Linked DNA regions of Oryzias latipes. The protein of the gene in region 6 binds, or shares a complex with, the protein of the main gene of each other region. Links are inferred from orthologs where the notes say so. Each region holds a gene or a part of one and is shown on either strand. Other genes may lie near its edges.

Region 1 (4,292 bases), on a different chromosome or scaffold from region 6:
TCTTCTAGCCTTAAGAGGCTGAAGAAGAGGAACAGATGTTTTCAGCTGGATCACCAACACTGTAGCAGTGCGACCGCTGATGGTAAAAGAAGAGGACAGATTACAGGTTTTAGATCATCTCCTCACCCTCGACGTGCAGGTTGAGCTCCATGTTGGCGAAAAGCGGGTTCACAGTCAAAGAACAAATGTAGCTTCCTTCGCTGCTCATCTTGGTGAAGGGGAGAGTGTAGGAGGCATCTCCCCCAGCCAGGGCCTTCTTCCCAACTCCAGAGCCATGAATCTCCCCGGAGCGGCTGTTGTAGCGGAAGAGCATCCTTCTCTCTCCGCGGGACTGCCAGTGCCACTCCACGGTGACGTTTGGGCCTCGGTGGTCGATGCTGAACTGACAGTGGAGTTTGGGCTGCGAGCGTAGTCTGACTTTCACAGATGGAGTCTCTGTTTTCAGCAACATGGCGACTATGGACACAAATAGGATGAACCCTCTTACAGGCCTTCGTTCTGACATGCAGAAGCAGCGTCAGATGAAGGGGACACCTACCTGTGGTGGTAAGAACCTCTCGGTCGGCGATGGGCGGCCAGCTGCGGTAGTCCTGCTGTCCTGGAGGAGGTTGGTCAGACGGATGTCTGAGGAAAGCAGTGACGCTGAACTTGTCCTTTCTGTGTCTGAGGATGCAGGTGTACCAGCGGTTGTACCCCTCTGCCCCCAGGGCGGGCCAGCGGACATGGATGCCCTCTGTGCTGTACCGTCGGACCTCACACTCCAACTCCTCTACCTCCACCCCTTCAATGGACCGCTGCAGGTCCAGTTTTGAAACTAAAGCAACATAAAAAGTCATGAATGTAATTCTTTCCTGCCCCGATTCGTGTCTTGGACAGAAGCTCACCAGTGATCAGGAAGGTGATGGCGTGGGGATTGACAGGAGCGTCTCCTTTTAGACCAAACTGAACCATAGCCTCTCTGGGAATGAGCTGTGTCTCAATGTGTCCTTCACTGTTGTTGGACACATGTTCGTCAGTGAACTGACATGACAGCCATGGTATCTGCTGAACGCTCCTCACAACTGAGAACACAGAAAAACTAACATTAAACACACCCTTCATTTAAATTTAGTTCCTTTCATGAACTAACTGATAGAACAGCTGCAAACATACTTTAAAATAACTTACCTCCAATCACATAAAAGTAAATAACAACTTTCTGAAATACTCCCATTTTGATTATTCAATTGAATTTCTTGGTTCACCTTGTTTCTACCAGCAGCCAGGATCTAAAAAGTACTTTCATTTTCACTTCTGCAGAAAAAAAACGATTTGCCTTTAGCTCGCGTCACATGACCTACAAGATTAAAACCATAACAAAAAAAAAACATTTTTATATATATTCATAAACACAATAACAAATGAAATGACGTTTAAATCTGATGTAAAATATTTAAATCTCGCTCCGAAGAAAAACGTTAAAACTGCAGTACCGAATTTATCCGGGTGCGTCGCTGTGAACAAACATCCGGTATATGCGTCGCATGGCGGAAGCGTGTTTGCGGCTGCGCAGTTCTGCTGTGGATGTTTTTAGTTGGATTATGTTGTTTCAGAAATCTAACTTTAAACTTCGGAAACCGTGAACGTAACGGCGCGTTTAGAGAGTTTCCAGGTAAACGGATTACACTGGTATTTACCTGCACGCAACAATTATCACGGTGATAATGGACAAAGGTAAAATAGCTTTTATTTTTACTCTCTCTGTAGACCAGTTAAGTCACTGACTTTAAGTTAAAATAAATTCTTACAAAAGAAAATATTATTTAATAAAGAAAAGCAATGTTTTTTAATTTAAATTGTTTTTCCAACACACGACGCATTCATACCGATTTACACACGCGGTGAACCGCTTTGAATTGTGGGAAACTGAGTTTGGTGTGGTAAAATGAATGACATATGGATCCCCTGAAGGGATTTGGCAAAAGGTGAATAACAACAAGATCTACACTGATCCTGACATAAAGACGAACGCACACAAACACTCACACATTAAACACAATAAAAACTATATGGCTCTGTCCATGAAAACTGAGTTATTTATTGGAGATCATATCTGAAAGTTGAGAAGAAGCTTTGGTGTTTTTATCTGTGGATACGGTGGCCCTGAAGTTCAAATCACATCCACAAATTACTGTTTTAAAACATCACACAGCAGTCCTGGAATGCAAAAACAAAATTGTTTTTGCAATTCTTGTTTCTTACTGCATATTTGAATGAAAACTTGACACCCCACCCCACCCCCCGCTTTAATTTTGTTTAGATTTATCAAATGTAACGTTTTCTTGTTATTTTATTGCTTTTGTTGTTGTTATCTTTAAGATGTCTTTACATTGATATGATGATGTGATTGGCACTTCAGGGCTCTGATTATGTCATGTGATTTCAGGCTCTGCGGTTCTGCAGGGGGCTTTCCTGCTGGCAGACAAACTGTGTCGCCCCTCATTTCTATCCTGCGTGAACAAATCCGACTGGATCGCGGCGGGACGCCCGATCCTACAGGCTCTGCAGGAAGTCTGTGAACTGGAGGAAGCTGACGGTCATCACAGCTCGACCTGGACGAAGAAGGTGGTCTGTGCTGTGTGGCTGAAGCTCTTGAGCGCTGAGGAGGATGTTGAGAGAGCGTGGAGGGAGAACCCCTTTTTTTCCTTCCAGCAGAGCCTCCCTGAAGTTAACCATGTTGTCCTGTTGGAGTTGGTGAAGAACGCTGCTGCTTCACATGTTTACGCAGGTTTTCTCCTTCATCTTCCTGAAGATTTGATCTGCTTGGAGCTGAAGAGGCTGGTAGAGCATGTGAAGAGCGAGCCTACAAGCGAAGAGGATGTTCATTTCTTTCTAGAGATGTGGCGGGAGCTGTGGAAAGGCCAAGAGCAAGCCAAGCTCAGAAACGACGAGAGCATGGAGATGATGTTTGCCAAGCAGGTTGCTCGTCTCACCTCCATGTCTTCTAGTTTGTCTCCTCAGGCTGCCAAGAGGTTAAAGCTGGAGACACAAGACTCAGCAGAGGCTGATGTTTTCCACATTCTCCTCAATGCCCTCAAAGACATGGCAGATCACGTCTCCTCATTAGACCTGTGCTTCCAGTCTCTCTCCATGTCCCTTGATGCTCTTTTTACATCATTTCTGATAGACCGAGAAGTTGTTCTATCAGCTCAGGAGAAGATGGACATCCTGTGTAAAGCCATCAGTACTAAAGGAAAGAATGAAAAACTTCAACCTGAACTTGTTGAAGAAGCTCAGAGACATTTACGGGCTTCGATTTCCCCGTCTCAGTTCAAAGTCAGGAGGATGGATCTGGGTGAAGCTCTGAGGGTCATAGCAGAACTTAGTCAGTCTTGGAAAGACCGAGGACTCTTGGACGTCCAGGACGGCTCTCGCTCCTCCTACTCTGCTTTCCAGCTGGAGCAAAGTGTCCAGAGAGTCTCCACTGCTCTGGAAGAAGCTCCCACAGCAGCGACAGAGAAGAACCTGCTCGTGGCTGTGCTGAAGTCTCTGGTTCTTCCTGTCACAGAGAGCAGCCCTGAGGTGCATGCTCAGGTGCTCTCCACCATCATCACTCACCGCCTGGAAGACCACGAGAGCTTCGCTGCCTTGTTTGCCAGAGAGCCGCCCTGGACGCACTGTGATGAAGGCTGGATGGATTGCCTGGAGAGGAGCCAAGCTTCCTTCCGTCAGCATGACGCCGTGATCGGCCTCTCCTCTACTCTAATGAACAAACTACGCATGGAGAATGCAGACGTCAGCCAGTGCAGAAAGCTGATGAAAATCATAGCAGATATCTTCTCCAGCCTTTCCTTAGAAGACATGAACAAAGCCTTGGTGTCCATGTTAAGATTGTCTAGGAAGGGCTTCTTCGAATTCCCCGTTCCTCCTGAGGTGGCTGGAGGGTTTGAGCAGGAGCTCAACATGGCCTTCAACTGCATCATCCAAGCAGGAAGTGGAGCGTCCTCAGCTGTTCCTCAAGGGAACCTGACCACGGCCGTCTCACTCGTAGCCAGAGTGGCTTTTCAGAACCCAGAAGGCGCCTTACGGTCCTGCTGCCACTCAGCTGTTTTCAATAAAGGAGCATTTTCGATGATGGCAAAGATCCTGCAGCATCTGCCTGGACTCAGCGGTCAGAGAGGAGGAGATGGAGATGGAAGGAGGAGCGGAGAGGAGAACACGGCTAAAGACGGGACCTCTAGTCTGCTCTGCAGGTGCCTACACCAGACGGTCAAGGACAAGTCCCTGTCAGCCAACGAGAAGGAACAGTTTGC
Region 2 (4,058 bases), on a different chromosome or scaffold from region 6:
TGCTGTGTGAAAACAAAGAGCAGACCAGTTAAATTGAAGGACATTGCATGCAGACAACCAGCACTGGCTCTAAAATAGACTCCTTACATTGGAATAAAAGAGAAAATTACACATCAAATAAATGAATTCAGAAATTCAACAGATTTACTATAAACTAGGAGTGAATTTCTGACTCACATGGCTTCTTCTTTGTGCCTCCAAGAGCGCCATGCATGGCGTTTAGGAACCATGTCATGAAGTCCACAGCATCACCTGCAAACCAGAAAACATTGAGCAAACTCTACAAACTTATCCAGTGAGTTAAAGATTGTGGGGCAAAAAAGTATTTGGCAGCCACTGACTCTGCAAGTTGTCCCGCTCAAAAAGCTGAGTTTGGTCTGTAATGTTTACCATAGATATACTTCAACTGAGAGATAAAATGTCCAATAAATTATCCAGGAAATCACATTGTCAGATTTTTAGAGAATGTATTTGTATAATAGTGCAGAAAATAAGAATTTGGTCAACAACAAAAGTTCACCTCAATAGTTTGTAATGTAACCATGATTATCTATGACAAAGGTCAAACATAGGTCTTAAGCAGGTTTACAAACACTATAGCTATTATTCTGGACCATTCTTCCATGCAGAGCTGTAATGTTTTGAGGCTTTTGCTGAGAAACATACTTTAAACTCCCTCCACAGATTCTCTTTGATGCCAGAGTTATGTTTTTGGGATCAGTCATGTTGGAAGATCCAGCCATGTTTCATCTTTAGTGCTCTCATTGATGGAATGAGGTTTTTGCCCAAAATCTCAGCCTACATGGCCCTATTTATGTCAGCACTCCACAGGCCACAAAATAGTTACCTTGTTTGGTGATTTGGAAGTTTTTCTTGCTGCACAGGACTACAGCCTGCAGCATCTCGTGGGGCGACACGTGGGCCTTGAAGTTTCTCGGATTCCAAAGTTTGCGCATCAGCTCCCCAAACCGCTGCACCAGCAGAAACATGATGTCCCCTGGTGGCCTCCGGATGTCTCTGTAGTTCTCCTCCTCAAGGAAGTAGTTTCGCAAAGGTGGGACGTTGGAAAAAGCCTAAAAACAAAAGTACAATATGAAACCCCCTGTTATTTAAGTTGATGCCACAGCCTCAAAAATCAACATCAGCGGGGTTTCATACCTGTAGTACAGCATTGGCATAGTCGTTGGCTTTAATGTTATTAAGCCCTACAATCCCTGGCAGGTAGGTTGTACCATCGTAGGCTCTGTACAGTTTACCATGTTTGTCCAGACCCTCAATGTGCTGCTTGGTGAAAGTCGGCTTCAGCACATACTAAAGAAAAAAAGAGCAAGATTACCAACACAAAGCAAGAGCTTACAAAAAATAAAAAAAGGAGGGGTAAAAATTACTTAACATAAAACATTAAAAATTTAAAAAAGAAATGTAAAAAAAAAAGACGTATTAAAATTACAGCCAAAACTCTAAAAAGTATACTTTAAGACATTGCTAAATAACTTATTTTTAGATACTAGTACTGATACTTATGTGCAAAATATAGTAAATAAAATATACTATGCAATCAAATACATTGGCCTTGTATAAAATATATAAATATCGAACACATTTTTATGTACTCTGGGTTCACAAGTTAAAACTATTTTTAAACACAGAATATGTTAATGAAAACTATTGAAGTGTTACACTGACAAACAAGGAATGTGAGCAAAAGAATCTATCAATCATATCTAGAAGAAAAACAAAAAACTTTGTTTAATTTTAACATGTAACTGTTTACTTTTCCCCCCAGAGCAATTACCTTTTCATTTATACATTGAAAAACAGCAGATTTACTGCATTACTTACTGTGATGTCTTCTAGCGATGAGTCAATGATCTCATAGTTGTCTGGCAGACAGTAAAACTTGAGTGTGTGCAAGTTGAGGAACACATGGTGAGAAAACTGGACACTGTGAGTGTAGGCATGAGACTTCTGACCTCTGCCTGCAACAAGGAATGCAAACGTAAAGATGTTTAGTGTCATCTAAAAAGGAAAATAACAATGTGCGTTTGATGTGCTAATATGTCTACCTTGAAAGTATTTCCCACAAATAAGACAGGCATAAACATTAATGTGAGACAGAGAAATGGAGCAGAGCTTCTCAAAGTCAAAATCCAGAACACTCCTGCAAGACGAGAAGAAACTGAATTACAAGAAGAATGCTAACTAGCTTTAGCATACATTTTCAAACATTTCCTTGCCTGTTTATGGTGTCCAGGTAAGGACAATGGCGGCTTCTTCGGTCTTCAACCACACGTCCTCGCCTAAATTTGACTGTCACTGCAAAAGAGAGCAAATCACGATAAAGCTCAGTAGACGTAAACGGAATTCATTTTTACGAGAACAACTAACTACTAGCAATCAAAACATGCTTGCTAGCAAGCTAAGATTTTTCTATTAATCGATCTCTGTTTTAAAATAAACAGGTTTTACATATATTTTTATATGCTGATTGTCTTTGTCTTACATGTGAAACCATCAGTTTATTGGTGTAGAATGGAACTGACACAATATAAACTTTTTATGCTAGAAAATGCTCTTCTGGCTGGCTAACAAAACGAAAAACGGACGTAAGAGACAAATCAGCATACCTTCGTCTTCGTTATCCTCGTCGTCTTCTATTTCCTCCCTTTCACGCTTTAAAGACATTCTTGTAACTATAAGTTAGCAAACGGTTTGCTAACGAAACAAAAATTAACAAAACTTGAAGGTTTACGAGAGGAAATGAATGGATATTATTCAGCTCCTCGAAACTCGCGGTGGTTGTACGTCGGTGGTAATGGCGTGGGAAACCAAAACGTAACCCGGAGTTTAAAAAATAAATGTTTACCCCCATGTAAACTCTAAGTAATATATTTTATTTATTTGTATACTTCAGTTTCTTTTTTTGTCACAGAAATATAACCAAAATAGTTTATATTTTAGTTCAATGTGCATTGTAGGACTTACACGCAATAAATTAATTTGTAGAAACTCCGGGAACGCTACGGTTGGACATCCATTTATACATCGTTAGCTGTCTAGCTTTTTGTTAGTATTTTGCTTGTTCTTCTTTAGCTGTGTTTTCTTTCTAGAGTGTTTGCTGAAATGGATCTTATAAGAGATGAAGGAGTGCATGAGCTGAAGTACAAACCGGGGGGCCGTCTGGACATGAGCCACGGTTTCCTTCATCATATTCGGAGGAACCAGATTGCCAGGTGATTTCCTTTTTGCTGTTAGCCGAGTTAGCATACTTACTTGGGATGTCAAATGTCAATCTGTAGCTGCTGTCATTTCATGATTGATGTGAAATGATTTTTTTAAAAATGGCAGACAGTGAAATAACATTTTTTTAAAGTACCTAAAAGGCTTAAAGTCAAGTTTATTTTTACTTTAAAGCAGTAGAAGCAAAACCCTATTGGACTGACTGAAATTTTAAAAGGAGCATTAAGTTATTCGGTTTATGTTTTATTAGTGTAATTTATTATTTAAAAGTGGATTATTATATAAACTTAGGTTTGGTGTGTAAAACTTTTAAAGTTCCTCCTTGATAAATTACATACGCTGAGTTGGGCTGTTTTACAGCATCTGCTCTCTGTCTGGTCTTAAAAAAAGCTGCTACAATAATGTATGATAAGTATTTTGATTTACGTCCAAACAAAAAAGTTTGTTTTAATTCCCACACTCTCACTCTTTATTTAATCATTTAAAACGGATTTTTAACATGTTGATTTTATTTAGGCAACTTTGAAAGATGAACTATAAAGCTAAAAGAACAGCAATAATAATGTTGCTTTGTTGTGCGGCTCTTTAAATTGCTTTGATGTATGAAAAACAAAGCTGTTTTGCCTTAAAATAATAAAATTTTAAAAAAAGTATTATCCTCCAATGTGTAAACAGACCTAGGAACATTTTTAAGTTCATGGCCATGACCAAGATGCTCTGTGTTTTATTCAACTGTGCAACTTGCTATGTTTTTAAGAAATAATCAGAAAATATTTCAATTTCTTTATAAGAGATGACTATGATAAAGAAGTGAAGCA
Region 3 (4,089 bases), on a different chromosome or scaffold from region 6:
CAAGAATCATATTTTTCCTTGATTATTAAAACATTGTGTTTGAACAAAGTCATGCTGCTGACTGTAAACACAGAGGTACCAAAACAAAATGGATCAAATGTTTTACTTTGCGTTCTTGCTCTTCGGCTCGCTCCTTCTTTATCTTCTCAAGCTCAGCCAACAGAGCTGCAGTGTCGTCATCATCACTATCTTCATCAGAGTTCTCATCCTCGTCATCCTGTGAAGAGGAAGGATTTTAGAGAGGATTAAGGCTGCAATGGCCTCATGCAGCACAACTATGGCAGAATGGTGACAGCCCCCATGCACTGCTGACGTTCTTTTCCACTGTTTAATGACTTTTAAATAAGTTGACATTTTCAGACGTATTCTCAATAAAAGACATTTACAAGAGAGTACATCAGTCTTTATTTGTAGTGTGCACACTTGGACACTTTTAAGTCAGCTACAGTTATCAGTTTAACTAATGCCACCTTGTTGGAGGTACCAGTGCTGGATGTGTTGCTGGTAGCTGTAGATGTGGATGAGGTTCAGCTTCAGGAGCTGTACTGTGGGACCGACCATAAGAGGCAATGCAGGGAGTTTAGCCTTTAAATACACCAGCCTGGCATTTGGAGAGCCCCAGTCTGCTCAATTTTTCCAGAGGAGGAACAACGGTCATATTTAAATCAAGTTTGTTTGCCACACTTTTTAAATTTTGTGTACATTTTTTTTCTTGAATGAAAAAACTAAGTTTTAAGTTTACCCACAATTGTTCTTTTAGGTGGTCTGATCAGCTAAAATTAACCACAAATGAACCATCTGGGATGTTTCAAGTTTAATGTGTCCAAAGCAGAGAAGTTGTACAAAAGAAATTGTTTGTTAAAAGTCAACTTTACAGTGATTTTTCCCCAATTAAGTCAATCCAGGCATTTTATTGCTAATTTTAATATTTACAGTCTTTAAAGAGAAAGTTTTATAGCACTAAAATATCAATATCTATTCAGATCATGTCAAGTGCAACAGCGAGAAAAGGTCTCATCTCCCAGCCGTAGGTGTACTGATGAAATGTTTTCTTTATTATATCAGTGCAGACACTTACATCAGTGAGAGGGTCATCAGCATCAAGGTTAGCAGCTGGAATCTGATCCAACCTGGGCCTCTTTGATGATGATGAAGATGATGAAGAGGATGTAGTGTGTTCTGGAGAGAAAAAAATGTAAAGACTGCATTTACAGAAAAATACATACTTTGCTTGGTTTATACTTGTGTGTCAAAAACAGTAAGTCTAAAATTTTGATAGAGACTAACCTCTTGGTCCCCTCTCTCTGGTCTTCTCACGTGCTGCTACACGCTCCTTCTCCTCCAGTTCCCTACGGAAATCACGGGCACGCACCTCCTCGGGGGCATCCTGAGTGGGCTGTCTAAGGGATCATAGCATTTTCAAGACTAAGTCCCACTACAAACTCCAAAAACCACTCATGAGATAAATAGTAACATGTACAGTTGGGGGAAAAAGTATTTCTCAGTAACATATTTAGCAAATTGTCTAATTTAAAAAGATGAGAGGTCTATGATTCCATCATATACACTACAACTGTGAGAGATTGAATGCATATTAAAAAAAAATATATAGCGAAAATTGTAAAAATATTTTTTGTAGAACTTGCACAATTGGTAAATGCAAACCACCCCTCCTACACACTGTAGCTACAATTTAAACATAACCTGCAGCAAACAAACCATCAAGAATTATCAATACTAAATGATGTACTCCAAATGTACAAAAGCTTTATGGTTATACAATTTAGTTGATAACCATTTTAATACTGAGCAATGACTTATTAGATGCAAGATATTTGTGAGCAAATTATTTAACATTTTCTTAAGGGTCATGGAGAGACACTAAATAGACAAGAAAATGCACACATGCCCCCCCCCCCCCCCATGTCATAAACTGATTCATGTGATGCTCCAACGTGAGGTTAGCTTAATTGTACCCAACACATTATACATGTAGACATTTAATCAAGTGTAGATTTATGTTCCACTTTTTAATAATTATAGCACAAAAAGACTAATTTAATCAATCCGGTTTGACCATTTCCCAAATAATTCAGATTGAATCTTCGAGAATCTTAACATGATTAAATATGTTTCTTTCAAACAATCGCTTTCTTTTTCAACTGAGCTGTCGCAGCAGAGTTTAATAGGAACTAAAAACCACCTGTATTTGATCTTGGTGTGACCTGGAAGATCTCGGCTGGAATATTGCTTGGACAAGGCACTCAGATCGCCTTCTCCTTTTCCTCTCCCTCCTCTCGCCGGCTCAAACGTTGGTCTTGCTGCGGTAGTCATCCCTAACCTGCTTCAACAACAACACGGTATTTGTCAAACATGAGTACAGTTATTTTCAGTTAGCTACTGTACTTTAAACGCAGAACAAACAAGGTAACATCAGTTGTATATAACAAAACATATACATACATTTATCGATTAAACAGACTTTAATACTTATAAAGGGTATTACTAGCCACCAAATTTGATTATGCTAACACTCAGACAAGACAAAAAACTCATTTTGGGCTCTTTAGAAAACTTATTTGTTTTAAGATTCACTGCACACTAATCAAACGAGATGTATGGCTACATTTATCATATTTATACCGTTTTAACAAAAAAACATCTGTAAAAAAACGTCTTTGACTTGGAAAAAATACTCACGATTCCACTACACGGCTAGCGGAAAGAGGATACCATAGAACGTCACTTCCGGATTGAAATTGCTGTTGCGCATGCGTCAAGAATACGATTCTGTTGGTGCGTTTAAAAAGAATTGGAAAATGCATTACTCATTTCAAATGTAATCTGATATTTATCGTAAAGAAATTACTATATTGTACCAAAGGAGAAAGAATTAGCACAAAAATGCTTTGTTACACCTTTCTTTTTCAAAATGCTGTGGTGATATTCCAGGGTACATGGTTGAATTCTAAAGCATTACAGCCAAAAATGTCTATTACTGATTTCAGCAAACCAACACTCACATTTAAAATGAAAAACATATAAAACCTTTGAGCACTGGTGTAAACAAGGAAGTGTTTACGAGGAGTCATCTTGTCTCTTCTTTTGAAGTAACCGGTAGAATTACTGTAGAAATGTGCGATTAGGGTTTGCAAAACATTTTACGTGGCCACCATGGGGCAATGTGCATCAGGTTCAGTGTCTTCCTGTAGCTTAATTTCTCCACTCAAAGTGAACATTAACATCACAACATGATTTTTAAATATAGTTTATTCCAAATTGAACACATTATTTTTAACTTTATTTAACAGTCTTGATACGTAGATTCTATTAAACATAATTGAAACACTTGTAACAGATGTAAAATTCCTGTCTTTTTCCATTTTAGACCTGATGAGTCTTCATCCTTAGGTTTTGAGATGTTCTTCTCAGATAATATGCCTTCCTCTTTAAAAGGATGTTTCTCTGGATTTGTGCCGTTGGACTCTTTGCTGCCTTTGGCTTTAACTTCAACTACAGAAACACTGGTTTATATTTGTTCAGTGTTTGCTGTTTAAGTTTGATGAGTTTATTTTATTCTTTTCCAAAGATATATCAATACATAATTGTGAAAATACAAATCTAAAACACCTCTTAGGCTCAAAAATACACTCTTAAATGAAAGGGAGAAGAGAGAACATGATTTGCCCCTTTTCCCCTTAATACTGAACAATATTTGGATTGCACCAAACTTGTCCCTCCCCTCCAATGTTTTAAGAAATGTCTGAGAAATGACAAAAGTATTAATCAATTTATAAATAATTTAATGAAAATCAGGCATAACTCTGGAATTTTTGTACAATAATTAACTAGTGAAATGACTGGACAAAGTATTGGTAACTTAAACTTCATATTTTGTTTTCTGTGCCTTTCAATTAGAATTCTGCACCTGTTTGCAGACATTTTACCAACTTTTTGTTAAAAAAAAAAAGCTTCATTTTTAGTGTGTTTGGAATGATTGCTATGCTGGAAGAGCCAGCTATGTTCTGACCTCAGCATGCTTACTCTAACAAATGCAAGAGGTGTTCATACCAGAGTTCCATTTGGATC
Region 4 (4,086 bases), about 980 kb from region 6:
CAAACTACTCTAGTTTTGAGATTTTGGTACCCACAAGTGAGGAGGTGCTCTGCCACAGTCATAAGTACCTGTTTAGAATCGGTATGTGCCAACTTTATACCAGTACTGTTTCCCAAAACCAAGTAGTTGCATTGTCTGGTACAAGCTGAAGCTGGTATACAAACTGGAGACCAGGTTTTTTATGTAACTAGAGATGATAACAGTAAAGTGAGTTTTCAGAGAAAACCCCTGGATGTTTCCTCAATCAGTCAGCACTAAGGTGGCATACATTGCCTTGTACAGATCTGCGGTCAGGGCTGCACTGTGACAAAGTGGTTAGCGCTTTACTCTAAATCTGTGCATGCGTGGGTTTTCTCCAGGAGATCCGGCTTCCTCCCACCATCCAAAAACATGCGAGTGGCCGGGTAAGGCTCTGACAGCCCCATGACCCCGAAAGGGACAAAACGGGTTTACAAAATGGATAGATTTGCCATCAGTGTTTATGCCCAGACAATTCAGAGAGCAGAGACCTTGAGGTGAAAACTTGCAATCCCTTTATCTTCGTGGTTTCCGACCAAACTCTTCCCTTTAAGACAACTTACTGCCTCTCTTAGATTTCTACATAATTTGGGAGAGGAAATGAAACAGCAATCTTCTTTCATCCAATTCACCAAACGAAAGTCATAAAAGAAAATGAATTAATTTCAAAGGTAATGTGGTTGACAGAAAGAGTTCGGTAAATTTTTAACCTCTGCTGTGCTGTTCACTTCTTGCAAATAAAGAATGACCTTGTGCCTTTTGGGATATTTATTTGTACAAATATGTGGTTGAAAATGAAAATTGTCATTCGTGTCATTTTAAACTACGATGAAGCCAACCTGTCGCAATAAAGCATTAACTTCCCGGTACCAAAGAAATATAATTACTAATTTTATTTATGTAAAAATTAGCTCAAAGTTGTTGTTTTTTAATAATCGAGCGAACAAAAAATCTAAGTTGACAACAAGACAAGTCAGCAATGAATTTGGTTAGCTTATAATTTCGTCCTCTTACGGTTTGTACCGTCAGTTCAAAGACAAAAGCTCAGACATGAACAGTATAGGCGTTTGTCGTGGTAGAACGATAAGGAAAATCACGCAAAAAGTATCTTAAGTCTTGAAAAAAGGATGAAAATATTACCTTTCGTGTGGTTAGCTGAACTCAGATTGTTGTACTTCCGGTGCATTGTCGCTGACAACGTCTTCATCAGCCAATCACAGCAGGAGATGGATGTTTAAACCAATCACACAGCTCATACTCACCGGAAACACTTCATCCTGATTTCTTCGTTGGTGCTACGCTTTTCTCGTTTCCCATGAAGGCGCAAATAGTCATTCGGTAAACCGTAGTCACAAACAAACTTATTTTTGTCGATTATTTGCAATTATTTCGGGATGATTGAACCAAAGAAAAGAGCGGGAGACATGGCGGTAATTCCCACCGCTGTGAAGCGAGCCCGGAACGAGCTGGTGGCGGCGGCACAGTCCCAGCAACTCGTGGCTACGGTACGAAAAGAATCAACGTTCACACAAAAAAACTCAAATTAGAGAAAATATATACACACGGGTGTTGACCCGCATTTGTATTATGCATGCTTTAAATGATGTAATCTAAAATTTACTCAAACACGACATTTTTTGTGGTGCACCTATTATTTCTTGACGTAGAGAACACATGACAACGAATAACAACACGAGTTTTCGCTAGGATATTTAATTTTTGGATGTAATGTTGCTTCTTTAAAATACGTATTATATTCGAAATCCCGTTGTTATCAACAAACTGATGGTAAAGGAACCTTTCCCAGTTATGGGTGTTTCCGGGGTGAACCGTGAACAGGTTACAAATCCTAGGCTAATGTTATGATAGAAAATTAAAAAATGTTATTTTTTTTATTAAGCATGAGTTTTGTGTATTTAAACCTTTTCCAGTTTGTAGATGTTTTTCTGTAAGTAGATATTTTGATTATTGAGACAAAACTATAGGATATTTAACAGGATAGATACTAAATCTTTTTTTTCTATTGTAAAAAATAAATAGCTTTTAAACACTGGGGTTTCATTTTAGCAATCATCTTTTGATGTTGCAAAAATCTGCATGACATATCACCTGCAACAGTCACATTCACAGTCACCCATGCACACACACATTCACACACTGATGGCGGTTTCGCTCTCTTACTGGCGCCAAACTATAACCACCAGAAGCAATGTGGGGTTCAGTGTCCTGCCCAAGGACATTTCCACACATGGGTGGGCAAGGCGGGAACCTAACCTGCGATATTCATGATCAGGTGGACCGCTCTGCCTCTGCACCACAAGCCCCTGCATGGAAAGTGTGCCACCATAGGGTGCAGAGGCAGAGCGGTCCACCTGATCACAAATATCGCAGGTTAGGTTCCCGCCTTGCCCACCCATTTGTGGAACCTAACCTGCGATATTTGTGATCAGGTGGACCGCTCTGCCTCTGCACCACAAGCCCCTGCATGGAAAGTGTGCCACCATAGGGTGGCAAGATCCTTTGTGTCACATGATCAATTTGATCCTTTACAAATGATCCATTTCCTCACTGGTCTGCTGCAGATTTGCATTAAACTTTGTGGACTTTACTCTGAAGCGTTCTGTGGCACATTAAGCCCAAACGCACTTTTATTTATCTGTCTTTTATCACATGCCTGTTTTCTTTTTAGATTTCACTTGGACTAAATCTGGAAGAAAAAAACAGAAAGTAAATTAAACTGACCTTTCTCCTCCAGGGTCCTCCTCGGACCTCCAGCCTGCAAGCTCCCATCATGCTGATGTCGGGCCACGAGGGCGAGGTGTACTGCTGCAAATTTCATCCAAATGGAGCCACGCTGGCGTCTTCTGGCTTCGACCGACTCATATGTAAGCAAAAAGAGGCAAGCTGCCGTTCTCCCGGCCTTCTTCTGTTGCTTTGTTCCTCACTTACTTCCTTTACCTCAGTTCTGTGGAACGTTTTTGGGGAGTGTGAAAATTACGCCACCCTGAAGGGCCACAGTGGAGCTGTGATGGAGCTGCATTACAACACAGATGGCAGGTAGGAAGAAAGCTGTAGATTTTATCTTTAAACTTCACCTTTAAATTGACATTTTTCTTGTTTTAGGTTATGTTTACAGTGAAAGTAAAGCTCATATTCTCATTGTTTCTTAGTCTTAGTTTGATTTCAAAAACTAAGGAACTTTATGGAACAAAAAAAATGTTCATCTGTAAATTTTAGGACTTGGAACTATCTACATTTCTTAAATAACCTTTCCATAAAATTTGACTGGATCATTTTTGTGCCTCCAGCTTGTTATTTTCGGCAAGCACAGACAAGACCGTGGGCATTTGGGACAGTGAAACAGGGGAGAGGATTAAGCGCCTGAAAGGTCACACTTCCTTTGTTAACACCTGCTACCCAGCTCGCCGGGGGCCACAACTGGTCTGCACCGGCAGCGATGATGGGACGATAAAGGTGTGACATTTTTATTTTAGGTGCAGTTATTTATTCTGAATGCTTCAACTGTTGAGGTCCCATTCAAAGTTTTTAAATGTTGCTTTATTGTATTTTTGTTAATCGTCACTGCAGTTGTGGGACATCCGTAAAAAGGCGGCAATTCACACCTTCCAGAACACCTACCAAGTTTTGGCCGTGACGTTTAATGACACCAGCGACCAAATCCTGTCTGGAGGCATCGACAATGACATCAAGGTATTTGGATTGTTCTAAAAAAAACAACAACCAGCAGAGTGTCCTTGGTTTTGTTTTGTAAGATTAACAGGAAGTCTGAAATCTCAGCTGCTACGTGGCTCTACTGTAGATGGCAAGAAAAAAGTTTGACATTTTATAAAAACTCAGTGTTTAAGGTAAAAACTTTCTGACATTTTGAAAGAAAAAAGAAATCAGTGATTTAGTTGTTTTCAATCCGTTTTAAATAACACATTTTATTAGTCTGCCATAAAGCTTAAATCAACGTTTTATCATGTGTTTGCCTTCATTTAAATGCACCAAATAATCTGATTCTACTTAGATAAAGACTAACATGTGAAAAAAAAAATTTCGGTTTCA
Region 5 (2,628 bases), on a different chromosome or scaffold from region 6:
GACTTTGTCCGGGCAGGCCTCTGTGGGAGACTGGCAACGCTGCTTTATCTGCCCCCACCCAGATACACGCAGGCAGCCAGTCAGATCTCCTTCTGCTTCCTTTAATCAGAGGCCTGGCACGTCTCTTCACTGTCATCCCATGTCTTGCTCCATCGTGTGAGCGGCAGATCATGGGGGTCATGAGCCCCGCAGCTCTTTTTTAATGCGGCCTCCTGAATGAGAGAGATCTCCCAGTCAATCTGTGAGGAAAGCCTTGAGTGGGGACAGCGATGAGTGGGAGCGCTGCAGAGATCGGCGCGGCTTCAGTCAGCCGGCGTCGAGTCCCCGAAACCAAAAGGCTGAGTGACACGGACGTTACAGCCTGCCTCCCTCCATCAGCCGCCATCTTTAAACCTTGAGCAGTACACAAACCTCCCATTTAGATCTTCCTTGCTCGTTATTTTGGTAAACATTTCCAGCTTTGTTGTTTTTAAGTCTACAGAGGCAGACTATGAAAGCGTTCCAGTGGAGGCTTACGGACTGGCCATGCTCAAAGGGATGGGTTGGAAGAAAAGTGAAGGCATTGGGCGCACCTTTAAACAGTAAGTGACGGCTGGCTTTACCCCCTGATCTAACATAGACTTTCGGAATGATGTCATTCGTAGATTATTTTATCTTAATTTATGACTAAAAGTGATTTGAATACCACATGTTCTCATTCTTTCTCAGTTCAAAGCTTTTATAGATCAATGGAGAACATCACATCCTTCCTAGTGTTTAAGGAAGTCCTGTTCTCCCAGTTTTTCCTCATTATCCAGCAAAATTCCATAATCTAGACCAGGGGTCAGTGACATTGATGACATGAAGTGCCAATGTGAACTCTTCTCCGTAACAACGGTGCCATCACCAACTCTAGTACAAAGAAACACAAAAAGATCTCCAAAATATCTGAAATGTTGTTTAATGCACAAACAGCAGGTTAAATTGCTTTTTAAACATATTTTTGGCATTAACCCAAAAAAGTGCTTTTACCCAAGGACTCGCACTGGATAAAGCTCATCGCTCCCTCTGGGAATCGAACATGTCCCAGTCCTGCACCTAACTAGCCCATCGAACCAGCCTTCATACATGTAAAAAGAAAAAAACACTTACAATTTTTAAGTAGAAATACAATTAATTAAAATGTATGCATACATTTGATTGGAAAACGAGTTATTTCAAGAAAAAAAAGATCTCTTTGTTGATTTATTGAGATGCTCATATCATTTTACCCGTGGTTAGTCTGCCTGTAGCGCGTCTGTCTTGAACTATTTGAACAGAGAAATGCTTTGAAACATTTGACGCATGCAGAATGTTGTTTTAACTCAGAATTCTCTTAAAATGATCGTTTTGGTGACTGCTCGGAGAACCTTATCTTCATCATATTTTGACATCTTGCTGGCTCAGCAGGTTACACATCCCCACGCGTTTGCACCAATGCAAACTTTAAGCCGTGTGCTAAAAATAAGTAGGTCGGCCGAGCTTCCCCGTAAGCTGTTAAGCTGGACCAATGTGGTGTTAGATGTTTGCAAAGATAGCCGGAGGAGACATTATTTGTTAATTGGGTCGTCACTTCCTCTCATTGTTTGGGATTTCGGGTGTTTTCATTGAGTCGCTCCTCACGCCCGCCGGAGCTGGGGAGGAGACGGAGAACACGGAGGTTTCAAAGCAGAACTTTGTGGAAGGAGGAAAAGTGAGCTGCTGTACGTTTCTGGGCTTCAGCATTCAAGCATCCGTTTCTGCTCAGCTCCTCAGCAGCTTCTAGTTAGAGTTAGACACTTTTCTTCATGCAAAGTGATACGATATTTTTCCTTGACTTGATAACATTTTGACTTTCCCAGCGGGCCCAAGAAATGTCTTTGACCTTTTTGGAATGTCTGAAGCTTTTTAGCAAAATGAGAAGAAGGAAGAAAAAAACTACTAAATTGTTGATACACTTTTTGCCTTCTGTAATAAATTGGATATCAGATGCAACGTATGAAATTACAATAAGAAAGACAACAGAAAGCAAGTTTTAACATGATCAAATCTTCGGCTTGCTGCATCATATAGTTGAGTTTAATTTTGTCATCAAACCTCAGGTTTTTGATTCAGTTTTTCATCTGTTTAACCTTCAGTCTGTTGTTGATCGAAGGCTGATTTTCTCTGTCTGCTTCAGAGACGTGAAGCCAATCGAACACCAGCTCCGCCCGAAAGGCCTGGGCCTCGGAGCGGATCGCTCGGCCATAAAAGATCTGGAACCCAACCGGAATCAGCGTCCGCCGAAACCCGGAGACGAGCCGGGAAAGGAGGAGGAGCTAGTGATGGGTCCTGGAGGTTGTGTGCTGGTGGAGTCTGGAGCACACAAAGATCTCTATGGCAAGGTGGAGTTCAGCATTCCACGTCACTGCCACCCTTAAGCAATTATGTTTTTCCTTTACACCAACCGCTCTGACTTTCCCTGACGCGGCAGATTGAAGGCGTCGATGCAGACAACGCTCGAGTGGTTGTGAAGCTCGCCGTCGGGGGCAAGACTGTGACACTCAGCCAACACGGCGTGAGACTGGTCGGACGAAAAGAATACGACAAATACAGCAAAGACATCAGTGAGTGTCCTTTCTCAGCTGCATG
Region 6 (4,042 bases):
TCTTTTTTATTATACAGCATTTATTATCCCTGAATGGGAAGTTTGTATTTTTGTTTTTTTGCAGTCGTGCTACACTCATCAGGCAGCATGCAGAGGACATGTTTGGGGGTTTTTCAGCATTTTCACGTTTGGACTGATGGTGAATGTTGTGGTGGCATTTGTTCTCCACACTGTTTGATTAAATCCTCCCTCCACAAATACCTTCTTTTTTCTTTTTTTTTAAATACAACAATTTGCACTTTCTTTAGGTTTCACTTGATACATTCCCAGCTTGTCTCAATAAATAAAAAGTATTGCTGTTTGGCCAAAACTCTAAATGAAATATCAATGCAAAGTTTACTCTCAATAAAAAGATCTGAAAGTTTGCTCCTTTGTTCTTTTTGTCTTCTTTCCTAGATCAATGGTTCCCAGCTTTTTGTGTATTTTGTAAGGATGTAAAGGATACAGTTACGTATTGAAAATTGATCAAGTACTGGAAGTAACAGCTCTATCAATCGATAACCTTAAATACGAGCAAGTTGGTGAAAAGGTAAAAAAATGAAATCAATCAGGAAGTAAATCGTTATTTTTTTTTCTTTTCTGTCTTTACTGTCTTTGCCTTTTTATGTACATGTGATGCCAACATGAAGACACCCAATCACAAAGCCTACTTCTACCAAATCGGGTCAATTATGATTGGCTGAATGTGAACCACAGTGTGCTGTGTTCTCTTTTTTCACGGTACTGCAAACAATGCCTGAATAAATTCCTATGACAATTTTTTGATCATAAATAAAAACAGAACAGTATTCGTAGTTGAAGCAGTTCTCTCAGAGATGTTTTGTTTTTGTTGCTTCAAAAAAAGGGCCAATAAGAACAAAATTTAAGAAAAAAGTTTCTCTGTTAAATGGCATTTCCATTAATAATTTTAAATGCCAAATACATAAATAGAAATCTATGAATAAATGACTGGTACTTTATTTTTTAGCACCATACAATGGCATCAGGGTGCCAAAGGGCTTACATTAACATAACATTTAAAATTGAGTAGATTGAGAGGGGAAAAAAACAGCATTAGATGGAAAAAACAATAAAACACATAGAAAAACAGTTAATAATTAAAGTAATTGGTAAGTAATTAAATAAAGACAGTAAAGGAATATTAGATGCCACCAACCCAATGAGTAAGAGAAAACAACTCATTTTTGTCTTTCCACTGACTGTTCTTCATCTCACCACCAGGCGGCGGTAAGACAACATTGACGGTGAGCGGTGGCCTCTTTCTGACGTCATATCAACGCGACACAAACGTTGGTGGTACATCAGCGGCCTGTGATTTCACTCGATCGCTGTAATTTTTCTCGTCGGTGGAGGATCTTTTCTCTACTGTTCGTCATGAAACTAGTCAGGTAATTTGCTGCATGGTCTGTAGATGTGTCGACTGGTTTAAGATAGGATGATGAAATAAAGGCTGTGTGGCCGGATGGGTTCAGATAGACAAATGAACTGTGTGGAGAGGCGGGAACAAGGCTGCTGGGTTTTCATTCAAAAAATACATATAAACATATCATTAGAGCTAACTATTTAATCAAGGATTAAACTGCTTGTTTTAGCAATATTTGTAAAAGATCGAGGCTGATTCGTTATCATTTATGGTTTTGCAAATTTCCCCCCGCATTATTAAAACTATCGTACTAAAGGAGGTTAATTTATTAGATGTTGTTTCCGTTTCCTCAAAGTGCTTTATCATTATTTAATTGTATTTATTTTTGGATGTTTTTAATTTCCACAACTTAAGAGACAAATGTTTTGTTTTCAGTTTACACAACAGTATCAATCCACCGAAGCTAACAAGCTAAGAGCTAACACGAGTTTTGTTTAGATACTAAAAAAAAAATACATTCAAAAAGGGGGGGGGGGGTATTTTGTACAATTTTATACGTTAAATCTTATGTGTTGTACAAAAATGCTGTCTAATGTTTGTGAGAGAGAGACGTCTTCTTTGTGCAAAGCAGTAAGTTGGCTAATTGATCATTCAAGATGGATCTAGTCATTAAAGTCTTCTACAGCAATGGTGCCAACCTTCTAATAAAGCGGTTTTTTATTGTATTTAATTTATCAAAATATTTTTATGATTAACAGAAAACGTTACCAACAATTATTTCTAACAAAAAGTCCGCATAAATGTTCATACAAAACATTAAAAAATGTGAATCTGAAAATGGAGTTTAAAGTCTTCCATTTTATCCAGTATGTATGGGATCAAATGCAGTTTTTGTATGAAATGGTGCATATCACAGTATGTTTATTTCCCTCGTTTTTTTTATGTTTGACATTTTGTTTATTTCATTTGTATTTTGTGAATATGAACAGACATAAAAATGATGCTTTTAATTTGTTAAAGTCCACCAATCAATTATTGATTAACATTTTCCTGTTCTAGTTCTGCTTAAAGGTCAGCATGTTATTAGTGTATTTTTTTTCATGGTATTGTCACTTTAAAACATTGACGTTTAAATGAAAGTGCCTTTTGGATTCAGAAAACCAAAATGAATGTGCCAATTCTAGGTTTTTGAAAAATACACTTTTGAGTAAGAATAAAACACGTGAACCTTTTTTGTTTCATGTGGGATGACAATAAATCATGTTTTTTTTTTTTTTGCGAAAATGATTCTTTCCCTGAAGTGTAGATACATTATACTGGTACTGCTTTTTGATTACAAAATGGTATGTTTGGTAAAGTATAGTGCAGTAAAACAACTCTTAAAGGTTAAGTAAATGTAAATGTATGCTACTCTCCCGTGTCCACACAGGTTTTTGATGAAGCTCAGTCATGAGACCGTTACCATTGAACTGAAGAATGGCACTCAGGTCCATGGCACCATCACAGGTGAGAGCAAACACTTTAGAGACGAATAAATGAACTAAATCATTTTTAAAATCCTCTTCTTCTTCTTTTTAATAGGTGTTGATGTAAGCATGAACACACACTTGAAGGCGGTGAAAATGACCCTAAAGAACAGGGAACCCACTCAGCTGGAGTCCCTGAGTATCCGAGGCAACAACATTCGCTACTTCATCCTGCCAGACAGTCTTCCACTGGACACCTTGCTGGTCGACATTGAACCAAAGATCAAGTCCAAGAAGAGAGAAGCAGGTGGGAGATTTGGGCACATTCTTACCTGGAAAATTGTATTAAGTTGAGAAGGATTTTTCTGCGATAAGAAATCCCTCAACAGTATTTATATTCATCATGGGTGTGTAAATCTGCTGTTTATTTCTTTGAGAAATGTTTTGTTCTGCTGATTAAAACTTTTTTTTTTCACGAGTATGGTGAAAGAATCTGGCCTTTCTTGTTCTCAGTTGCTGGTAGGGGGCGAGGCAGAGGACGGGGCCGTGGCAGAGGAAGAGGACGAGGGCGAGGTGGACCACGGAGATGATTTCAGAGCCCCAACTGTTTGTACAGCTTTTAATTGTACTGCGCGGTGGACGCAAAGTGAATCTAAGTGTAAGTTTAGGGTTGTTTTTCTTTTTTATACTCGTGGGTTGTTTAAGACCGCGAGGGGGTTTTGGATGCTGTTGATTCATAATTTGTACCATCTTGAATAAAATGTCTGAGCAGCATTTAAACTGGGTAAAAATGTCATCTGTTTTTTGCTTTTTTTATACCTTCTTGTGTCTTTGGCAAAGTTGGCTGAAAATGTAGCTGTTCTACTGGCATCAAAGAAGAATAAATCTTTTTTTTTCTCTTTGTAATATTTGGCTCTTTAATTGGCTTGATTAGTTTTCACTTTTCCTATAAGTGATTGAAATAGGTTGATAAGGTTTTTTTTCACAGTTTCTGGAACTGATTACATCTCAACTTATTGTTGATGATGTTCCAGATACTGCTGATCCACCTCTGGTGGATGGTGTGGATGTTGATGACTGCAAATGTAAAAACCTTTTGTCCAATACTTAGATGGGCTGGCTCTTAACCCACATAAGTTTCCAATAAAATAAAGAAAATCCACTTTGAATTTTGACATCATTGTAAAAACTTATGTTTGTTATTGAAGATCTC
Region 7 (3,964 bases), on a different chromosome or scaffold from region 6:
TCAAAATCTAATTCATATTTAACAGGTCAAAAACACAAAAATTAGATTAGATTCAATATTATTGTCATTGCGTGAGTACAAGAACAGGCATCAAAATATTAAATTCTAACAGAATTTTCAAATTAGTTTAAACATGACTATATTTAAACATTCAAAATAAAACTCTTCCATCCAACGGTTAAATGAAAGTCAAAGATGTCAGCATCCCAAATAAACACTAAGGCTTTTTGTATAATAAGGAATATTGTTTTGTTCAACCAAAGACCTTGGATAAGGGACAATTTACATTAAGGTTTCATGATAAGGAGGCGACAGAGATATAAAAGAGATGAAAATTGGACATACACTGCCTGCCCACAGATCCTCCCTCTTTCCTGTAAGTTTGTGGTAGACAAAAATGATATCTCCACGTCTGAAGCTTAGAAAACGGCAGTCGTTACTCTTGTGGTCCCTTATGGCCTGAACCCTGCTCATTAGGCCTACACACACAAACACAAGTGATCAGTTGCATTAAAATGATTAAAATGTCTTTAATAAACCAACTAAGCTAAATTCATGCATAAAATATAACAGTATTTTTTAGGAACTTCAAACTATTTTGACACAAGTGTTTGGACTTACTTTCACACTCAGAATCTCCACAGATCTTGTAGTCGGATAACATTCCTGGATTTATAAGAGGCAAAATCACAAACGTTAGACCCACAATCCAACAGAATTTATGTAGCAGGGAAACATCCATTTTGGGTGCTTTAGCTGGAGTGTATCATAGAAAAAGTCCCATATTTGAGAAGAAATCCCTTTGACCTGCTGTTCAGGAAAGTGGACATTGACTCTGTGCTGTTTCTCTCATGAAACCTCACTAGTGGTAAACGAAAGAATGGAGATAAGATATAACGCTAGCATGAAGCTAATAATTAACAACGTTGCTCGTAACCTGATTGCAGAACAAAACAATTTAGCTCTAATGTCAAAAGTTTATTTTTTTCATTCACCAACTTGATTTGAAATTTTTTTATTTATTAAACAGCTTCTGCGGTTGAATTGAGGTATAATAAACGTGTTTAAATGCGCAACATAAAATGCTCGTGGACTTCGTTCCTTGTCGCTGCCAAAGTTTCAGGCGCTGTCACGTCACTATGGAAACAAATCTCGCCTCGCGCACAAAATTGGCGTCATCAAATCTAGTTTGAAAAACAAAATGGCGCTTGTTGGACAACAGTAAATACTAGCATCTGCCTAGTCTTCGTTTTAATGTCCTGATTTCGCTTAAGAGTTTTACATTATTAGCGGAAAATGAAGTCGGATGTTGAGGAGTTAATGCCAAGGCTGCTTCCGGTGGAGTTAGGACAAGACACCGAGCACGTAGACCTCAGCGGTCCACCGAGGAACCCCCAGGAGTACTTGCGACAGGTCCAGTAAGTTCTCCCTTCTGTTCTCATTAAAGTGGAAAGCCAGTGTTTTCATAATTAAAATGCTTTAGAATAGCAAAGCATTGGTATAAAAAAAATTGTATAAAACCAAAGTTCCTATTTACAGTCTATGTATCGAACCGTGGAATTAGCTCTCCACTTAGTATATTTAAGTGTTTCTGTTGTTTCTTTTCAACAAACTTTATTATCAATACTTATTGTATTAACTGAATAGAATAATATAGGTAAAAGAAAACACTACACAGGTTGCACAACACGTGCCACCTGTACTTTAATAATCAGTCCAGTCCAATTATTTTTGAACATAGAATATAAGTAAATAAAATATAATATGCCGTTTCTTTAAAATATCAAATGTTCTTGTCGCCTTCAATATGGACTGCTTATATGTATGAATGAGGAATGTCCCAAAAATAATGAACAGTTCAGTAACAAAACTTACCTTTTTGGGCAAACCATGTAATTAAAAATATAATATGACATTAAAAAAAGAATTCAGAGAGTTATATTAAATTTTGTGGTTATAAATTCACGCAGATCCGACCAAAATTGCTTGGTGTACATAGAAAGAATAAATAAATGAAAATTGTCTCCTTACTTGATTGGCAAAAAACAAAATTGTTCTGTTTATTTTAAATCTTCTTAGTGTATCTTTAACTGGGTAGAAAGCAAAATAAAACCTATTTTATTTTAATATTAATACAGTATTTATGAACAGAAGTATTAGTCTTTTCCCAATTTAAATCACCCATGGTTGAATACCAAAAAGATTTAGCAGCAAGAAATTCAACTTCTTCTAATAAAAAGATTATTGATTTCAACATCTGTGAATGACTCGTTTTAGAAATTGAAGAGAAGATATTAGCTGTGTTTCCCAGTGACCCCTCACCTCCTTGTGATGTAGGTTGGAAGCGTCCATGTGTCCAGAGGTGGTGGTTGCTCAAATTGACCCTAAGAAACTAAAGAAGAAGCAAACAGTCCATGTATCTGTAAGTGAAAATCTATTTATTTGGTCAAATCTTTATTTGTTAAGGCTTTGTCTGTGTGGTGAGGTCATGTATAGTTGACTCTGCAGCCAAGAGACATGATAATCTGGAAAACCATATTTTCTGTCTCAGGTAGCTGGGTGCCACGCTCCCCCAGTAGGTTTCTCCCCCAGCCTTCACTGGCAACAACAACAAGTCAGTAATTTTTCTGACGTGAGACGGGTAAGAAAAACTAAAAGAACAGTGTGTTGCTTTTATATCTCACTTATATTTCTGCTTATAATGTCTAATTTTTTAATTTACTAGAGCATCACCAAGAATAGAAAACATTGGAGCAGCCAGACTCTGGATAATAATGTACGCATGGTAAGATGTCAAATCCCGCTGCAATGTTAGCAAAGGTCAAAGGTGCTCATTTGCATAATATTTAAGTGTGATCTTTTACAGCCAAACCTTACAGATGAGGAGGGCTGGAAGAAGTTTTGTTTAGGAGAGAGGATCTACTTGGGCGCATCAGCCTGCCCCACAGATGCAAAACCAGAGGCAGAACTGGACTATAGCAAGGTTGTCAACTAAACTGTTGTTAGAATTTTTAAACGCCAAAGTTTTGAAACAAAAAGTTTCAAATAAGACTTTTTTTCTTTTTTGTTAACTTGTTCTGTCCAACAGCTGAGCAAACAGATCAGAGCTGAAGGCCTCTTGTGTTTGAGAGATTTTACTGTTACAATAGGGGGTCATGAATCTTCTGACACACAAGGGGTATATTTATTTAAACTCTTCTGTATTTGAGGGTAAACTTTATTTATATTGATTATGTTTGTATACCTGTTTTGAAAAGGGAAAAGGGGGGGGGGGTTAAAGGAAGTTGGAGCATGATCAAAGAAGTAGAGTGGGGGTAGATTCAGAATCATAAAGCAAAAAGTTGCTGGAGGTTTATCATTATTACTGTCAGATTAAGGCATTAGTCAAAAGGAGCTAACAGGTATGTTACAAACATACCTGTGTGAAATCTTCACATTCCATATGTCAACACATACACGATACAACTACAGCTCACACAAAAATACTTATGCATACATAAAGAGAGAGGAGCCAAGAAAGCACACCAACTTGACCGAGGCAGTTTGACCAGCCAGGGCTCTCCATGATTGTCTCATTGCTGACCCCAACCCTCTGTAGTCCCATCCTGATGGAGGACCCCCTTCCCAGAGGACAGAGCCAACCAGTCTACCAGCCCCCCCCCCCCCCCCCCCCCCCCCCCCCCCCCCCAGATCCTGCAGCCATGGCAGGTGTCACCCAGAGCAACTGCAAACCCCAAGAGGGTTGCCCCACCCCGTCCCAGGACCAGAAGAGTGCAGAGGTGCAGGCCCAGGGTCTCCTGCACCTGGGCCTGCACCTCCTCCTCCTGTCCTAACCCCCCCTGAAAAGACCACTCCCCAAGCCAAGCCAGACCCCCTCAACCGCACCGACCAAACTCTCCCAAGACCATGCAGTACCCCCACCTGCCCACTTCCAGGCGCCCAACCAGGTCCCCCTAACTAACGA

Evidence for each region.
Region 1: snrpd1 (region 6) and gemin4 share a complex: the UniProt entries of both Homo sapiens proteins name them as parts of the SMN-Sm complex. The link is inferred for Oryzias latipes from reciprocal best matches to the Homo sapiens genes SNRPD1 and GEMIN4.
Region 2: snrpd1 (region 6) and usp39 share a complex: the UniProt entries of both Homo sapiens proteins name them as parts of the U4/U6-U5 tri-snRNP complex. The link is inferred for Oryzias latipes from reciprocal best matches to the Homo sapiens genes SNRPD1 and USP39.
Region 3: snrpd1 (region 6) and cwc15 share a complex: the UniProt entries of both Homo sapiens proteins name them as parts of the minor spliceosome. The link is inferred for Oryzias latipes from reciprocal best matches to the Homo sapiens genes SNRPD1 and CWC15.
Region 4: snrpd1 (region 6) and snrnp40 share a complex: the UniProt entries of both Homo sapiens proteins name them as parts of the U4/U6-U5 tri-snRNP complex. The link is inferred for Oryzias latipes from reciprocal best matches to the Homo sapiens genes SNRPD1 and SNRNP40.
Region 5: snrpd1 (region 6) and gpkow share a complex: the UniProt entries of both Homo sapiens proteins name them as parts of the minor spliceosome. The link is inferred for Oryzias latipes from reciprocal best matches to the Homo sapiens genes SNRPD1 and GPKOW.
Region 7: snrpd1 (region 6) and gemin2 share a complex: the UniProt entries of both Homo sapiens proteins name them as parts of the SMN-Sm complex. The link is inferred for Oryzias latipes from reciprocal best matches to the Homo sapiens genes SNRPD1 and GEMIN2.

The regions. Positions count from the first base shown.
Region 1 is NC_019871.2:19,886,887-19,891,178, forward strand, and holds the start of gemin4 (gem-associated protein 4), read left to right. Parts: upstream 1-1,492; 5' UTR 1,493-1,563; coding exon 1,564-1,651; exon of another isoform or gene 1,652-1,703; coding exon of another isoform or gene 1,704-1,713; intron 1,714-2,425; coding exon 2,426-4,292. Other genes in the region: tapasin-related protein, read right to left, coding at 127-456, 539-814, 885-1,061, 1,168-1,213. UniProt on the Homo sapiens protein: The SMN complex catalyzes the assembly of small nuclear ribonucleoproteins (snRNPs), the building blocks of the spliceosome, and thereby plays an important role in the splicing of cellular pre-mRNAs.
Region 2 is NC_019867.2:12,332,968-12,337,025, reverse strand, and holds the start of usp39 (U4/U6.U5 tri-snRNP-associated protein 2), read right to left. Parts: upstream 2,801-4,058; 5' UTR 2,686-2,800; coding exon 2,628-2,685; intron 2,317-2,627; coding exon 2,238-2,316; intron 2,162-2,237; coding exon 2,067-2,161; intron 1,980-2,066; coding exon 1,843-1,979; intron 1,312-1,842; coding exon 1,159-1,311; intron 1,074-1,158; coding exon 848-1,073; intron 253-847; coding exon 178-252; intron 3-177; coding exon 1-2. Other genes in the region: c9h2orf68 (UPF0561 protein C2orf68 homolog), read left to right, coding at 3,124-3,233, 4,032-4,058.
Region 3 is NC_019872.2:16,000,765-16,004,853, forward strand, and holds the start of cwc15 (spliceosome-associated protein CWC15 homolog), read right to left. Parts: upstream 2,801-4,089; 5' UTR 2,701-2,800; intron 2,345-2,700; exon of another isoform or gene 2,342-2,344; 5' UTR 2,335-2,341; coding exon 2,204-2,334; intron 1,401-2,203; coding exon 1,288-1,400; intron 1,180-1,287; coding exon 1,079-1,179; intron 218-1,078; coding exon 107-217; intron 1-106. UniProt on the Homo sapiens protein: Involved in pre-mRNA splicing as component of the spliceosome. Component of the PRP19-CDC5L complex that forms an integral part of the spliceosome and is required for activating pre-mRNA splicing.
Region 4 is NC_019869.2:21,982,921-21,987,006, reverse strand, and holds the start of snrnp40 (U5 small nuclear ribonucleoprotein 40 kDa protein), read left to right. Parts: upstream 1-1,286; 5' UTR 1,287-1,412; coding exon 1,413-1,523; intron 1,524-2,773; coding exon 2,774-2,903; intron 2,904-2,981; coding exon 2,982-3,075; intron 3,076-3,326; coding exon 3,327-3,492; intron 3,493-3,606; coding exon 3,607-3,729; intron 3,730-4,086. UniProt on the Homo sapiens protein: Required for pre-mRNA splicing as component of the activated spliceosome. Component of the U5 small nuclear ribonucleoprotein (snRNP) complex and the U4/U6-U5 tri-snRNP complex, building blocks of the spliceosome.
Region 5 is NC_019865.2:21,312,264-21,314,891, forward strand, and holds part of gpkow (G-patch domain and KOW motifs-containing protein), read left to right. Parts: intron 1-474; coding exon 475-581; intron 582-2,176; coding exon 2,177-2,381; intron 2,382-2,470; coding exon 2,471-2,603; intron 2,604-2,628. UniProt on the Homo sapiens protein: RNA-binding protein involved in pre-mRNA splicing. As a component of the minor spliceosome, involved in the splicing of U12-type introns in pre-mRNAs.
Region 6 is NC_019869.2:22,965,507-22,969,548, reverse strand, and holds snrpd1 (small nuclear ribonucleoprotein Sm D1), read left to right. Parts: upstream 1-1,242; 5' UTR 1,243-1,374; coding exon 1,375-1,388; intron 1,389-2,792; coding exon 2,793-2,869; intron 2,870-2,944; coding exon 2,945-3,136; intron 3,137-3,342; coding exon 3,343-3,419; 3' UTR 3,420-3,991; downstream 3,992-4,042. UniProt on the Homo sapiens protein: Plays a role in pre-mRNA splicing as a core component of the spliceosomal U1, U2, U4 and U5 small nuclear ribonucleoproteins (snRNPs), the building blocks of the spliceosome.
Region 7 is NC_019880.2:19,643,435-19,647,398, reverse strand, and holds the start of gemin2 (gem-associated protein 2), read left to right. Parts: upstream 1-1,164; 5' UTR 1,165-1,296; coding exon 1,297-1,418; intron 1,419-2,322; exon of another isoform or gene 2,323-2,337; coding exon 2,338-2,422; intron 2,423-2,551; coding exon 2,552-2,641; intron 2,642-2,725; coding exon 2,726-2,785; intron 2,786-2,866; coding exon 2,867-2,983; intron 2,984-3,964. Other genes in the region: transport and Golgi organization protein 1 homolog, read right to left, coding at 346-479, 622-742. UniProt on the Homo sapiens protein: The SMN complex catalyzes the assembly of small nuclear ribonucleoproteins (snRNPs), the building blocks of the spliceosome, and thereby plays an important role in the splicing of cellular pre-mRNAs.